2 linked regions of the Sus scrofa genome follow. The protein of the gene in region 2 interacts with the protein of the main gene of each other region in a pairwise test. Links are inferred from orthologs where the notes say so. Each region holds a gene or a part of one and is shown on either strand. Other genes may lie near its edges. The genes, in order: RBM12B and RBM10.

What was found.
Region 1: the proteins of RBM10 (region 2) and RBM12B interact in a two-hybrid assay, tested with the Homo sapiens proteins (3 studies listed by BioGRID). The link is inferred for Sus scrofa from reciprocal best matches to the Homo sapiens genes RBM10 and RBM12B.

What each region holds. Positions count from the first base shown.
Region 1 is NC_010446.5:42,944,592-42,950,730, reverse strand, and holds the start of RBM12B (RNA-binding protein 12B), read right to left. Parts: upstream 3,830-6,139; 5' UTR 3,806-3,829; coding exon 3,791-3,805; exon of another isoform or gene 3,410-3,790; intron 341-3,409; exon of another isoform or gene 131-340; coding exon 84-130; exon of another isoform or gene 1-83.
Region 2 is NC_010461.5:41,771,137-41,777,276, reverse strand, and holds the start of RBM10 (RNA-binding protein 10), read right to left. Parts: upstream 3,380-6,140; 5' UTR 3,058-3,379; coding exon 2,988-3,057; intron 1,081-2,987; coding exon 939-1,080; intron 1-938. Other genes in the region: NDUFB11 (NADH dehydrogenase [ubiquinone] 1 beta subcomplex subunit 11, mitochondrial), read left to right, coding at 3,830-4,036, 5,828-6,140. UniProt on the Homo sapiens protein: Binds to ssRNA containing the consensus sequence 5'-AGGUAA-3'. May be involved in post-transcriptional processing, most probably in mRNA splicing. Binds to RNA homopolymers, with a preference for poly(G) and poly(U) and little for poly(A).

The sequences.
Region 1 (6,139 bases), on a different chromosome or scaffold from region 2:
AGCCACCTGTACCTAGATGTACTATTCTACTTTACATTTTTTGTCAAGCCTCTGTGAAAAGCCTTAAGCTCTGGATATCTTACCTTTTTTTATTTCTTGGAGACCTGTTAATTCTGTAAAAGCAACTTAACTGTGGAAAGAAAATGAAATATAATTAATCCTTGGACCCTGCAATCGATCTTAAACAACGCCAGATTAGGATATTCACTACAGAATTACCTATTAAAGGTGAAACAATATAAGGAACCACAACTAAGGGCATTATAAAATGGTTGTTTTTGTTCCAAAGGGAAATTAATCATCCTTCAGCAAAAAGGAAGTACAAATTCCAAGCAGATATCTGCAAATTAAAAAACAAACAAAAAAAAACCCTGAAAATTTAACAATCAGTCCTTGATTGGAAAAGGCAAAAGGAAAAAGGTAATGAAAATATTATATATTTTGACTGGATTTTGGGTACATAGGTATATAAATTTATCAAGGCTAAATGAATAATATCTTGTAAAGTCTGTGCATTTCACTGTATATACATTTCATATCCACTTAAAAAAAAAAAGACAACTGTTCTACAAGTAAAATGACATTTTAAAAACACCAAAAATTCCCCACCAAACATCTATCATCACTTCCACCCATGAAAAGACAAAACATCTAACTCATTATGTCCAACTCTCCTGTAAATCTCCTACCTTTCATAAGACCAAATGAACAAAACACTAATGTTTCAAATTCAAAAACCAATTTTTAAAGCAATAAATCCAAACCAATGGCTACCATTTGGATACAATTTTAAGTTCTACATATACGTCCCACACTTTCAAGCATGGACCCAAATTTCCTGATTCCATTATAATTAAGACAAATAGTAAAGTATCCCTAAAAACAAAACTCTCAACTAATACTACTCTTTATCTTAAGCTCACCTGTTATTCCTCATCTTAAATTCCTAATACAATTACTATTAAAATTCATCTGAAGCCAAACACAAAATGTGCAGATAAACACAGAATCTTATTATGCTAGTAAGCATATTACTTTCCAAACAACTGTTCTGCATTCTGAGGAAACCCAAATGACAAAGTAAAAAGTAAAAATATAATAAAAATACATTGATTTGGAATATTTGGGGGTATCAGTATTAACTACTGAAAAATCTCAATTTAATATTTCCTTAAGGAAATTTACATCTAATACTTACAGAGATACCAAACTAACAATATTTACTGTAGATTTTTTTAAAGACCTGCTAAGTTAATAATTATAAATTTGTTATTAATGTGCAAATAAATGTTTTAATTCACTTAAGTACCACTCTTCCACAAAGTGGTGTCTGAAAACATGGTCTTTAAGTCCACAAGGTTTATTTTGCTTTGAAAAAGGTCCATAGATTAAACTTCTTAAACTATAAGGTCAACTAACAATCAAATTAACTGGCACATTTTACACATCAGAATTATCAATACCAAATTGATAATTAAAATATTAATGGGTTCCTGCTGTGGCACAGCAAGTTAAAGATCTGGCACTGTCTCTGCAGGAGCATGGGTTTGACTCCTGGCTGGTGCAGTGGGTTAAGGATCCAGTGTTGCCGCAGGTGCTCAGATTTGATCCATGGTTAAAGATCATATGCAGTGGGTGCAGCCAAAAAAAAATGTATTAATGAAGTTTACTGTTAAAATATCTGCACATTACATGTGTGGGGGCAGGAGACATATGGGAAATCTCTGTACCTTCCACTCAGTATTAATGTGAACCCGAAAAACTGTTATGAAAAAGTGTCTGTTAGAGAAAAAAATCTGAAAGTTATTAAAAAAAAAAAAAAAAAGCTTAGTTTCTTCAGCAAACCAACATCTACAACATTTTTAACAGAAACTGTAAATGGCTTCTGGAATAGCTGTCCACATTAAAGTCCCAAGACTCCTTCCTACACAAAATAAGCTACTCCTTTTTTACCTTTAAAGTATTTTTAGAAAGCAGTGTAATAAACATTTTATCCCTCTTAAACTTTTTAAAAAAATTTAAAAGGGAACATAAATATACCTACAAGAAAAGCTGAGGTCCTTTCAAAGAATACTTATTGTTTGTCAAAGTAAAAAAAAAAAAAAAAAAAAACAGTCTGGTAATTTATCCTAATTTAAAAACAGTATTTTAACTAAGTAGTTCCATGAGTACAAATTAATAAATTCCAATTCGACTATATAAAAACTGTCTTCTAATTTTCCACAGTTAAATATAATTATTGCTTAAACTTTTTTGCCCTTGAAATAGTAATGTACCATTTATCCCTCTACAAAACAAAAACAAAAAAAAAACACCTAGGAGACTACCTATAAGAGACCAGCTCTCAAAATGAGCACCTTTCCTGTGGTTCCCATAGATATTTCCTTAAGCAACCCGAAAAATTCTATTTTTGGAGCATTACACACACAAAAAAGCAAAACACAACAATACTCTACAGTACTCTGCACCTACATTTTTCTACTTATAAATGCAATAAAAGTATTTTCGTGACTGTGTTAAAGACTGATCCGTAAGAACTTTCAACCTATGAAAAAAGTGGGTCCTTAAAAGCTCAATTAAGGGCAAGTCGCTGAAATTACCAAGCTCATTTTAAATTATTTTGCTGATTTCATCCCACCATTCATCCCACTCGATCACGATTATCACAAACAACAGGAAACGTGCATCTAATTAAGCCTGAGGGCAAAGGGAGGAATGCTAAATTTAAATAGATATTATCTCAGATCCATTTATTTTAACTAGAGAACAGCAAGTCATTTTCCAGACACGGTGAAGGAGAGAAAACTGCCACTATTTCTTAAAAAAAGTTACGATGAAGCACATTCCAATTCTAAATGCATGAGTTTCCCCTGCAGAATAAAATCTACCGCGGTCCACAAAGATTCTTTATGACGATATGCCTTTTTTATCCTTTTATAATGCAGATGGTTAAAATAAAAATCAAAGGCATGACGACACAGAGCCAAAGTCCCCAGTAGGAACCGTAAGTGAAGACGAATCCACACGGCACAGGTTTTCCCATAACATCCATCATCCTCAAGGGGGGGGGGGTCCTCCGAAGGCATTGCTTCTATAGCCCAAAGCCTTTGTCCATACTCCCAGGGGTCAGAGCTTCCTTCTTTCGCGCCAAGCCAAAGTTTCTACGTGGGATCCGATGCTGTCGCCAGACCTTCAGCCAAAATCAGCCTTCAAATTAACCTGGACCGCCCAACCTCCGTGCCTTTCCGTTACACCGTCCCAAGGGCAAACATTCCACCCTAACTCTCCAGAGGGTGAACTGCTCCCACACCTAACTCAAACACTCTGGCCCCTCTCAAGCCTAATGAGCTGGGCCTTCAGCGCTTTTCTGCCACCACTGACTACGATGACATAGCAAAGAAAAAAATACCTATGAAATCCTTCGAGATCTTCACTCTCGTGCCGACTGGTAAGTGCAAACACAACACCACATGGAGGCTGTCGGGGGAGTCGGTGTTTAGCAAGGAAAGAGGGTGCCCTAACGGCAGAAGCTACGCTAGTTCCTGGCGCCGCCCCGCCTTTCCCTGTGCTTCCGTCCCTGCCGCCAACCCCTCCCCGCCCCCGACGCCCCAAGGGTAACTGCTTCGCACTTGGCAGTAAACACACACCGCTGCTGCCGAATCAGAACCACAAGGCTGGGGACGGGGAGCACTCCTCGTCGAAGCTGCCTCCCCAAAACAGGTAGAGCCCTCAGTGAGCCTAGAAGAAGATGGCGCCCACTCTCCCCTCCGCTCCGGACAAACGGACGTACAGTTTGTCTGCCCATGCGCTCTCCAGGCGTAACCCACCACCCCGGCGCCCCGGCCACGTTTGCGCACGCGCTCTGACGCTCGCTCGCTTCCTGTTGCCAGGGAAAGGGAGGTGGCTCCCGCGAGCGCTCTCGCCCCTGCTGGGGTTTTTGAGCTCCTGCGCATGCTCAGATTCCAGCCAACCTTGGAACCTGTACTCAGGAGACGTTCTAAGGCAAAGTTCAGGGACTACCGGTTGCTGTAATGAGAAGCTTCAGTAGGCAACAGGCAAGATAGACTAGGCAAAGGTTTGTGACTCGCAGGAGTTAAGAAGAGATACAAAAGCAGAGAAAACCTTGCGATTTCTTCGTCGTCTTTCAGCGCTGCAGTTATATGTTCTAAGCATCTTCCGAAAGGCTCTTTGTAAACACTTTTAAAAGGCCAAAGAAATGTTAGTGCTACTGCCTTAGATGTTCCAGGTACAGTGCTAACGCCCAGGGACTTAATACGTGCATGCTTCTTCCGTTTTATAGACATTTATGAAGAAGTGCTTTATACAGTTGTTGTTCCTACCTTCTGGTCCTTTGAAACGTGAGAACACTTGGGCCAATTTTGAAAACTGGGACGTGAAAAGCACAATTACAGGCATGTGCTGTGGTGCCTACTATGTAAGAGCTGGTGAACAACCCTATGTTTTATTTTATTATTTGCAAAGCAACGCATCACATGTTATAATTCATGATGCGCTTATGGGTGGAATCAAAACTCACTAAGAAAGTAGAAACTTACTTTATAGCAGTATTACAGATAAGAGAGAAAAATGAGGGGCTTTTTTGGTTGGTTTTTTTTTTTAGGGCCGCGCCTGTGGCATTTGGAAGTTCCCAGGCTAGGGGTGGAAAATTGGAGCTACAGCTGCAGGCCTTTGCCACAGCCACAGCAACACGGGATCCTAGCAAGGTCTTCGAGCTACACCACGGCTCACAGCAATGCCAGACCCTTAACCCACTGAGCAAGGCCAGGGATCGAACCCTCATCCTTATGGATCCTAGTCAGATTCGTTAACTGCTGAGCCACAAAGGGAACTCCAAATTTTTTTTTTGTCTTTTTGTTTGTTTGTTTGTTTGTTTAGGGCAGCGCTGGAGGCCTATAGAGGTTCCCAGGCCAGGAACTAAATAGGAGCTGCAGCTGCCAGCCTACACCACAACCCATGGCAATGCCAGATCCCCAAATGCACTGAGCAAGGCCAGAGATTGAACCTGCATCCTCATAGATACTAGTCCTGTTGGTGAACCACTGAGCCATGACCGGAACTCCATGAGCAAAATACCCATTCTCTATAACAAAGAAGAGGTAGTTTAACAAATGAATTAAAAAGGTGGTTCCCTGAGCAAGAGCCACCATTTACTCACTTGGACAAATTACTTCGCCTCTATGCCTCAGTTTCCTCATCTGTAAAATGAGATTAATGTTAATACCTTCTTAGGGTTGCTGGAAACATTCAATGAGTAAATATATGTAAATATCTGAGGCAACGTAAGTGTTCGTGTTTCAAATGTCAAGGTGCTCCCACAGAGGAGCAGTAAATATCGCCTCAGGGAGCTGGGCTCAATGACTAGGTACCATTTATCTTTTTTTTTTCTTTTTGCCTCACCCACAGCATGTGGTGCAGGTTCCCAGGCCAGGGATGGAACCCACACTGCACTTGCAGCTTGCACCACAGCTGCAGCAACACCAGGTCCTTAACCCACTGCACCATGATGGAACTTCTAGTAGCATTTATCTTATTTCCCAAACTTTTAAGGTTTGGTCCTAGCCTAGCAAGCTCAAGAAACTGAACTTAACAGATAACATTTATTGAGGGTTTATTATGTGCCAGTTAATTTGCACTATCTCATTTTTATTCTTACATCTACTTTTGGAAGTAGGTACTGTTATTTTTCCTATTTCTCAAATAAGAGAAACTTAGGCATAAAAGATTACTTAGCTTACCCAAGGTTGCAGAGATAATACAAGCCAGGAATTGAACCATAATGATTTGCTTCCAGAGAACACTGCTCTGTATTACACAAGGAGAGGATTCTGTCTTCTGAGGCAAACTCCCTTTAAACAAGCACACAGAAACCATGCTCCAAAATGTCAATATTGTCAATATTAATTCACAAGAAGAAACACTAGTAAAGTGAACCTAAGATCAACTCAAGCTGACCAGCACTTCATTGGCCATAAACACATTCAATAGGGAGTCAAAAGATGAGAGGATTGTTTGCTAAGCATGAAAATAGAACACGAGTTAAAAAGACACTCTAAAAGTGTCTTCCAGTTAAGGGTACCTAAGAAACCCATCTCACCCATCTTAACAAAAGTAACAGTTA
Region 2 (6,140 bases):
CTATCCGAGAGTGTCCCATTCCAAGATAAATATCACACCAACTTCAACCCACCCTGTCCCTGAATCCCAGATCTTAAAAATGCAGTGCTGAGTTCTACCTGCTGACCTGGCTTGCCCCATACTTGACCTGGGCAATTCCTGATTCTGAAGGCACCACTCCCATCCATCCCTCAAACCCAAAGCTACAGCCCACACCTTTCCCCTGAGAATCCACAGGCACTTACAACCCACCACCCACCTGCCACCCACCTACGCCTCTCTTCCTGCAGGGGCTGTCCACATCTTAGTGGATGGCACCATATACCTATCTGGGTCAACCAGACTGGAAACCTGGGCATCAGCCTCCATTCCTCCCTTTCTCTTGATCCCTTCCCACCCTGTAACCAAACACGACACCAATCAAGCTGTTTTGTAATCATCTGTAACTGTGTAATATCCCCTGTGAGACCCTAAGTAAGGAGAAGGCTGCAATCCTATTTTTGTTGTTTTTATGGCCACACATCTGCAGCATATGGAGGTTCCCAGGCTAGGGAGCTATAGCTGCTGGCCTACACCACAGCCACCCCAGATCTGAGCCACATCTGCGACCTACACTGCAGCTTGGCAACGCTGGATCCTTAACCCACTGAGAGAGGCCAGGGATTCAACCCACATCCTCATGGACACTATGTTGGGTTCTTAACCTGCTGAGCCACAACAGGAACTCCAAAGGCTGCAATCTTATCTATCTCATTCACCAATGCACTCTCAGAGCCTAGCGCAAGTTCTGGCTCACAAGTGCCAAATAAACATCTGCTGAAAAGAAACCAATCATCTGCTGTGCTGTTTTTTTTTTTCCTTCCCCCTGCCCGGAAGCCCCCTCCCAGCGCTTTCCTGGGTCAGTTCGCACACAAGGACAAGCCTAGGCTGCTTGGAAGGGGTAGGAGTGGGTAACTCACCGTCTTTCATACTCCATGTCCTGATACGGCCTGCGGGGGCTGCTGGGGCCCCTCCTCAGCCGCTGGCTCCGTTTCACTTCCCAGCCACCCCCGCTGCTGCCACCATGATCTGCCAGCCTGGGCGATGCCTCCTGCAGGGACTCTAGGGAGAGGAGAAGGAAGAAAGGGGTCAAGGCAGTTGAGGCAGAGACGGGTTCCTTGAAAAAACCTTTTCAAGGCTCTCTGCTGTCCCTGAGCCCAGCGATGTTGTTTCCCAACTCGAAATACTCCTGGGGACCAGAGCAGGAAGGCAGTCCCTGTTTGGCTTGCTCCTTCCTTTCTTTCCCCACAAACGTGAAGCTAGAGCCCGCCACCCTAGACACAGCATAGCCTTCAGCAGAGGGGGAGCATCTCGCAGAGAGACCCAGTGGCGCCACCCATGCTGTCTGTGATCAGGGCTCTGCCATTGGAGACTGGTAGACAAGTTCAAGCCCAGAGCTATCTGCCCGGGCGGGCAGCAGGGGAGAGTGGGCTCTCAGTGCTGGGTGACTTGTCTCAGATCAGGCACATTAGACATCGGGGCAAGACACCACAACAGGGGTCCCAGGCACCCACCAGGCTACCATCCGCGAGCCTCCAGGGAATATTTCATCCTCCCCCAAAGACGCTGGCTGCCCACTCTGACACGGCAGGAGACCACGAAAGGCTCAGGGGGTGACGGGGCTAACTTGGCAATGACACAGCTGCCGCCTCCCTAGGCTCCTGGCCAACACAGTTTTGGCTCCGCACCGCAACTGGCTCAGCCCTGAGCCCTGTCTCTTATGCACAGCCAGGTCCCCCAAGGGGGCTCCCTCCCCAGAGCTCTGGACCCGAGTTGTTCAGAAGCAAAACGAGTCCTTTCGGAGCCTGTTCTGAACCGATGTGTTATTCCTCCGGGACGTATGGGCAGTCACTTTACCCAACCCTCAGGCTCCGGTGAGAACTAAGGAAGGCCTGAGAGCCTTGAGACCAGGCCAGGGGTCACCACAAAGTATCCCGGAATCTTTAGGCCCCACCCTCTGAACAAGACTCAGGCAAAGCCAGGTGGTAACAGCACCTGCCCCAAACTAGGTTGCCACTACACCTTTCCTCCGCGGATACACTCACACCGATTTTCTCTTCCTCCTCAAGCCACAGAGAACCAGCGCTACCCGCTCCCGGATGGCTAAGAGTTAGAATCACGACCAGGGGCTCCAGTGGATGAGAGCCGGACACAAAACCCTTTAGATCTGGCAAAGGAGCCAGGGTTATACACTGGTATCCACAACAGATAGGGAACAAACTCAACAGAGTCAAGCCCCGAATAACTAGGGGCCAAAATCACAGACAGGAATCCAGGGTAAATACAAGCCATAATCATCCACTGAGGCCCCCTTTCACAGGATGAGCGTCAGAGTAACAGATACGAAACACCCTCTTCCCCCACCCCCCACCCCCGCAAAGAAGGGACACTAAGTCTTACACACGTTCCTTGCACTTCCTCCCACCCAGTAAGTGGATTAGGGCCAGTTGTAAGAAGACTTTCTGGGATAAGGACCCCTCCCCATGGATAAGGACCAGGGTTACGGACACACGATCCGAGGATAGAGACCCCAGTCATACGTTCTCCCTCCTCCCCCACTCAAGAATAAGGACCAGAGCCACCAAACACTTCCCCGTGGATAGGTAAGTACCAAAGTCACACAGGAGAGCAGACAGCACACTTCCTATAGATAAAAACCAAAGTCGCAGACACTCGCCTCCCACGGATAAAGTTCGGCGTCGCAGACACACTAAGCCACAGTAACCCACTCCCATCCGTCCCTCCCTTCCCCCAACCCGCGTGCACCCATCCTGTGTCCCAATCGCGCACGCGCCTCTGCTCTCAAAAGGAGAAAAACAAAAAACAACAACAAAAAAAGACACCCCCTCCCGAGCACAGACCGTGTGAGCATCGGGGGTTCTGCACGAAAACCCAAACCTGCCGCCCGCAGTTCGCCCTCGCGCCTCCTCTACGCGTTCCCCCCCCCACCCCCGCCCCCGGTCCCTTACCTCCGCCCCCACGACCAGCGTCGACGCTCACCTTCTCGGCCCGGGCTGTCAAGGGAGGGCTCCCGGACATCACCTCGGCCCGCCGCCACCTCCTCCAACTCTCCCAGCTCAGCCGGAGCCGGTCCGCGCAACGACCCAGTCCGAGGCTGAATGCGGAAGGGCGGAGGACTGGGGAGGGAAGGAGCGCCCAGGCGCGCTGCCCTCCCCGGGCAACTCACTGCCGCCTACTCCCAGCCGGCCGCGATCACCAGCACAAAATGGCGACGACGAGAAGGGAGCCGGCGCTTCGACCACCATCCACCTACTAAGGGAGCGCGCTCTGGCCGGCCCCGTCTATTGGTCGCCGTCCTTCGTGGGCCAGCCCTGGCCTGCTCTGATTGGCAAGCGCATGCCACCACCCCGCTCCCCGTGCGAACGCCCGCAAGTCGAGAAAAAGAGTAGCTATTGGCCAATCCGGCGAGGCCCGCTTTTTAGAAGCTCGGCTTCCTAGGAAGATGAAAGACCAGCGGAAGCTCCGCCCCTCTCGCCAAAGGGCACGGGAACTCTCCTCGAGATTGGTTGGGGACTGCATCCACCCAAGTGTCACCGTTTTCTTCTCGTCAAGAAAATAAGCAGCCTTTTCGGCCAGAAATTCCACAGCCTGACCGAGAAGATAGGAAGCTGGTTGCTCCCGTGAGGCCATGACAGAGGGAGGGAAAGAGGACGTTTGAAAACAAAATCCCAACTCGGGACCTATTTAGTGCGGCGGGGGCGGAGCGACAATTCTCGCGCTCAGGCCCAACTGCAGCTGCGCAGAGTCACATTTCCGTCCCCGCCCCCGCGAGCCTGCAGAACGAGCTGTCATGGCGGCCGGGGTGTTAGGTTTGTGCGCTCGCCGCCTTTTAGCAGCAGCGGCGACGCGAGGGCTCCCGGCTGCCCGTGTTCGCTGGGAGTCCGGCTCCTCCAGGGCTGTGATCGCCCCGTCCGCTCTGGTGGGAAAGCGGCCGCCGGAACCGACTATACGCTTGCAGGAGGACCCAGATCCGGAGGACGAAAACCTCTATGAGAAGGTGAGAGGGAGGGGAAACGGGACGCCGCAAGGGTCAATCGGGGACCTGCGGACGGGGCGCCGTAGAGGACGTACTTAGTCGGCTGAGGATTGCGCAGCTGGCAAAATCCTCAAAGATTTGGGAGTTCTTTCTAGCTCCTTTTCCTCCTTTGTCCCCTGATAACCTTCGGTTCAGGGCCAGAGGCGAGACTGACCTTATTTTCCAGACAGATATCAAACCTGAAATGAGCAGTATACCATAACAGCAATAATATTAAACACTGATACGGTCCTTGCTCAGGTGTTCGAAACACTTTATAATATTAACTTATTTAATCCTCAAAACAGCCCTATTTCGAGGTAGGTACTATTAATATACCCATTCTGCAGATGAGGAAACTGAAGCATGAAGGTGTTAAGTGACTCCTCCAAGCTCACTTAACTGAATGTGTGGCAGAATCAGGTCTGCTGTGCTATCCTGTTAGCAGAGACTGAAATCAGAATGCCTGAGTTGGAATACAGGCCCTGATAGTTACTTACATATGTGACCTTGGGCGAGTAGCTTAACCCCTTGGTGCTTCAGTTTCTTTGAAAGATGGGGAAAGTATTAGGACACTTTCTAAAAAATAAAATATTACACCTGCCTCGTGTAATTAAATGAGTCAGAGTGCTCAGAACAGCAATTGGCACTTATTAAGTACTCACCATTAGAAGCTGTTAATTATTCTTGCCACTTTCCACCTTACCAGGATATTGTGCAGTTTGTGCTTGTGAAAAGGCCTGGCACGTGATAGATGCTTCATCAATACTAACCTTTGGTTGAGGAGCTTGGCTCTGTAGGATGCTTATTCATTTATATATTAATTCTGTAAATATGTATTGAAGGCCTGCTGTGTGCCAGGCTAAGTTCAGGGTGCTAGGGATTCAGCCACATGGGAGTTAGATAAAGCCCTTGCTTTCACAGAGCATACATGATAGCAGAGAACAGGGAAAATAAATGTATAGAATATTAGAAAACAGTGATATAGAGGAATTCCTGTCGTGGCTCAGTGGTTAACGAATCCGACTAGGAACCATGAGGGTGCAGGTTCGATCCTTGGCCTTACTCAGTGGGTTAAGGATCCGGTGTTGCTGTGGGCTGTGGTGTAGGTCGAAGACGTGGCTCGGATCCCAAGTTGCTGTGGCTGTGGTGTAGACCAGCAGCTACAGCTCTGATTGGACCCCTAGCCTGGGAGCCTCCACATGCCGTGGGAGCGGCCCTAGAAAAGGCAAAAAGATAAAAAAGAAAAAAAACCCAGTGATATAAAGTATGCAATCAATAATATAAGATAATGTGATCAGAGGATTTGGGGGCTATACTGCTTTGGCAAACAAGTAAATGCTAGAAAGACTGTTAAGCAAGATAAGTGAATGGATAGTGACTTGGGGTAGGGAGTTATTTTATTAGTTTGAGCCATAGGAAATTGCCAATATTCAATAATTTTTGACCTGTTAAAAATGTCAGTTTGCTCTAGCTCAACTTAATAGACAAGGTGACTAGGAAATGCCTCCTGAGGGGAGCGATGATGAAGCCAAAACCTTGATTGAGGAGGCAGATCCAGCCACAGCTAGGTCGGCGGGAAAAGCTTTCCCAGCAGAGGAAAGAGCAAGTGCAAAGGCCCTGTGGTGGGAAGGAGCTTGACAAATCCTAAGAATAGAGAGGAATTTAGGAAGGGAGGGAGGAGCTTGGTCCAAGGTGAAATTGGAGATCGGGTTATACTGCTTTGTGGAGTGGCAGGAAGCCTTCATTGACCTCTTCTTCTCTTTGCCTCAGAACCCAGATTCCCACGGTTATGACAAGGACCCCATTGTGGACCTCTGGAACATGCGGGTCGTCTTCTTCTTTGGCTTCTCCATCGTCTTGGTCCTTGGCAGCACCTTTGTGGCTTATCTGCCTGACTACAGGTGCATGGGGTGTCCAAGAGAGTGGGGTGGGTGGGGGCAGAGGCAGGGGTGGAGCTTTAAAGAGACTGTCAGGAATCCTGTCCCTGTGCAGCAATGGGAGCTAAGATGGGGATTGGTGTCCATGGAGGCTCCCTCAAGTCTACCCCCACGCTGCTGCCTCCAGGATGCAGGAGTGGGCCCGC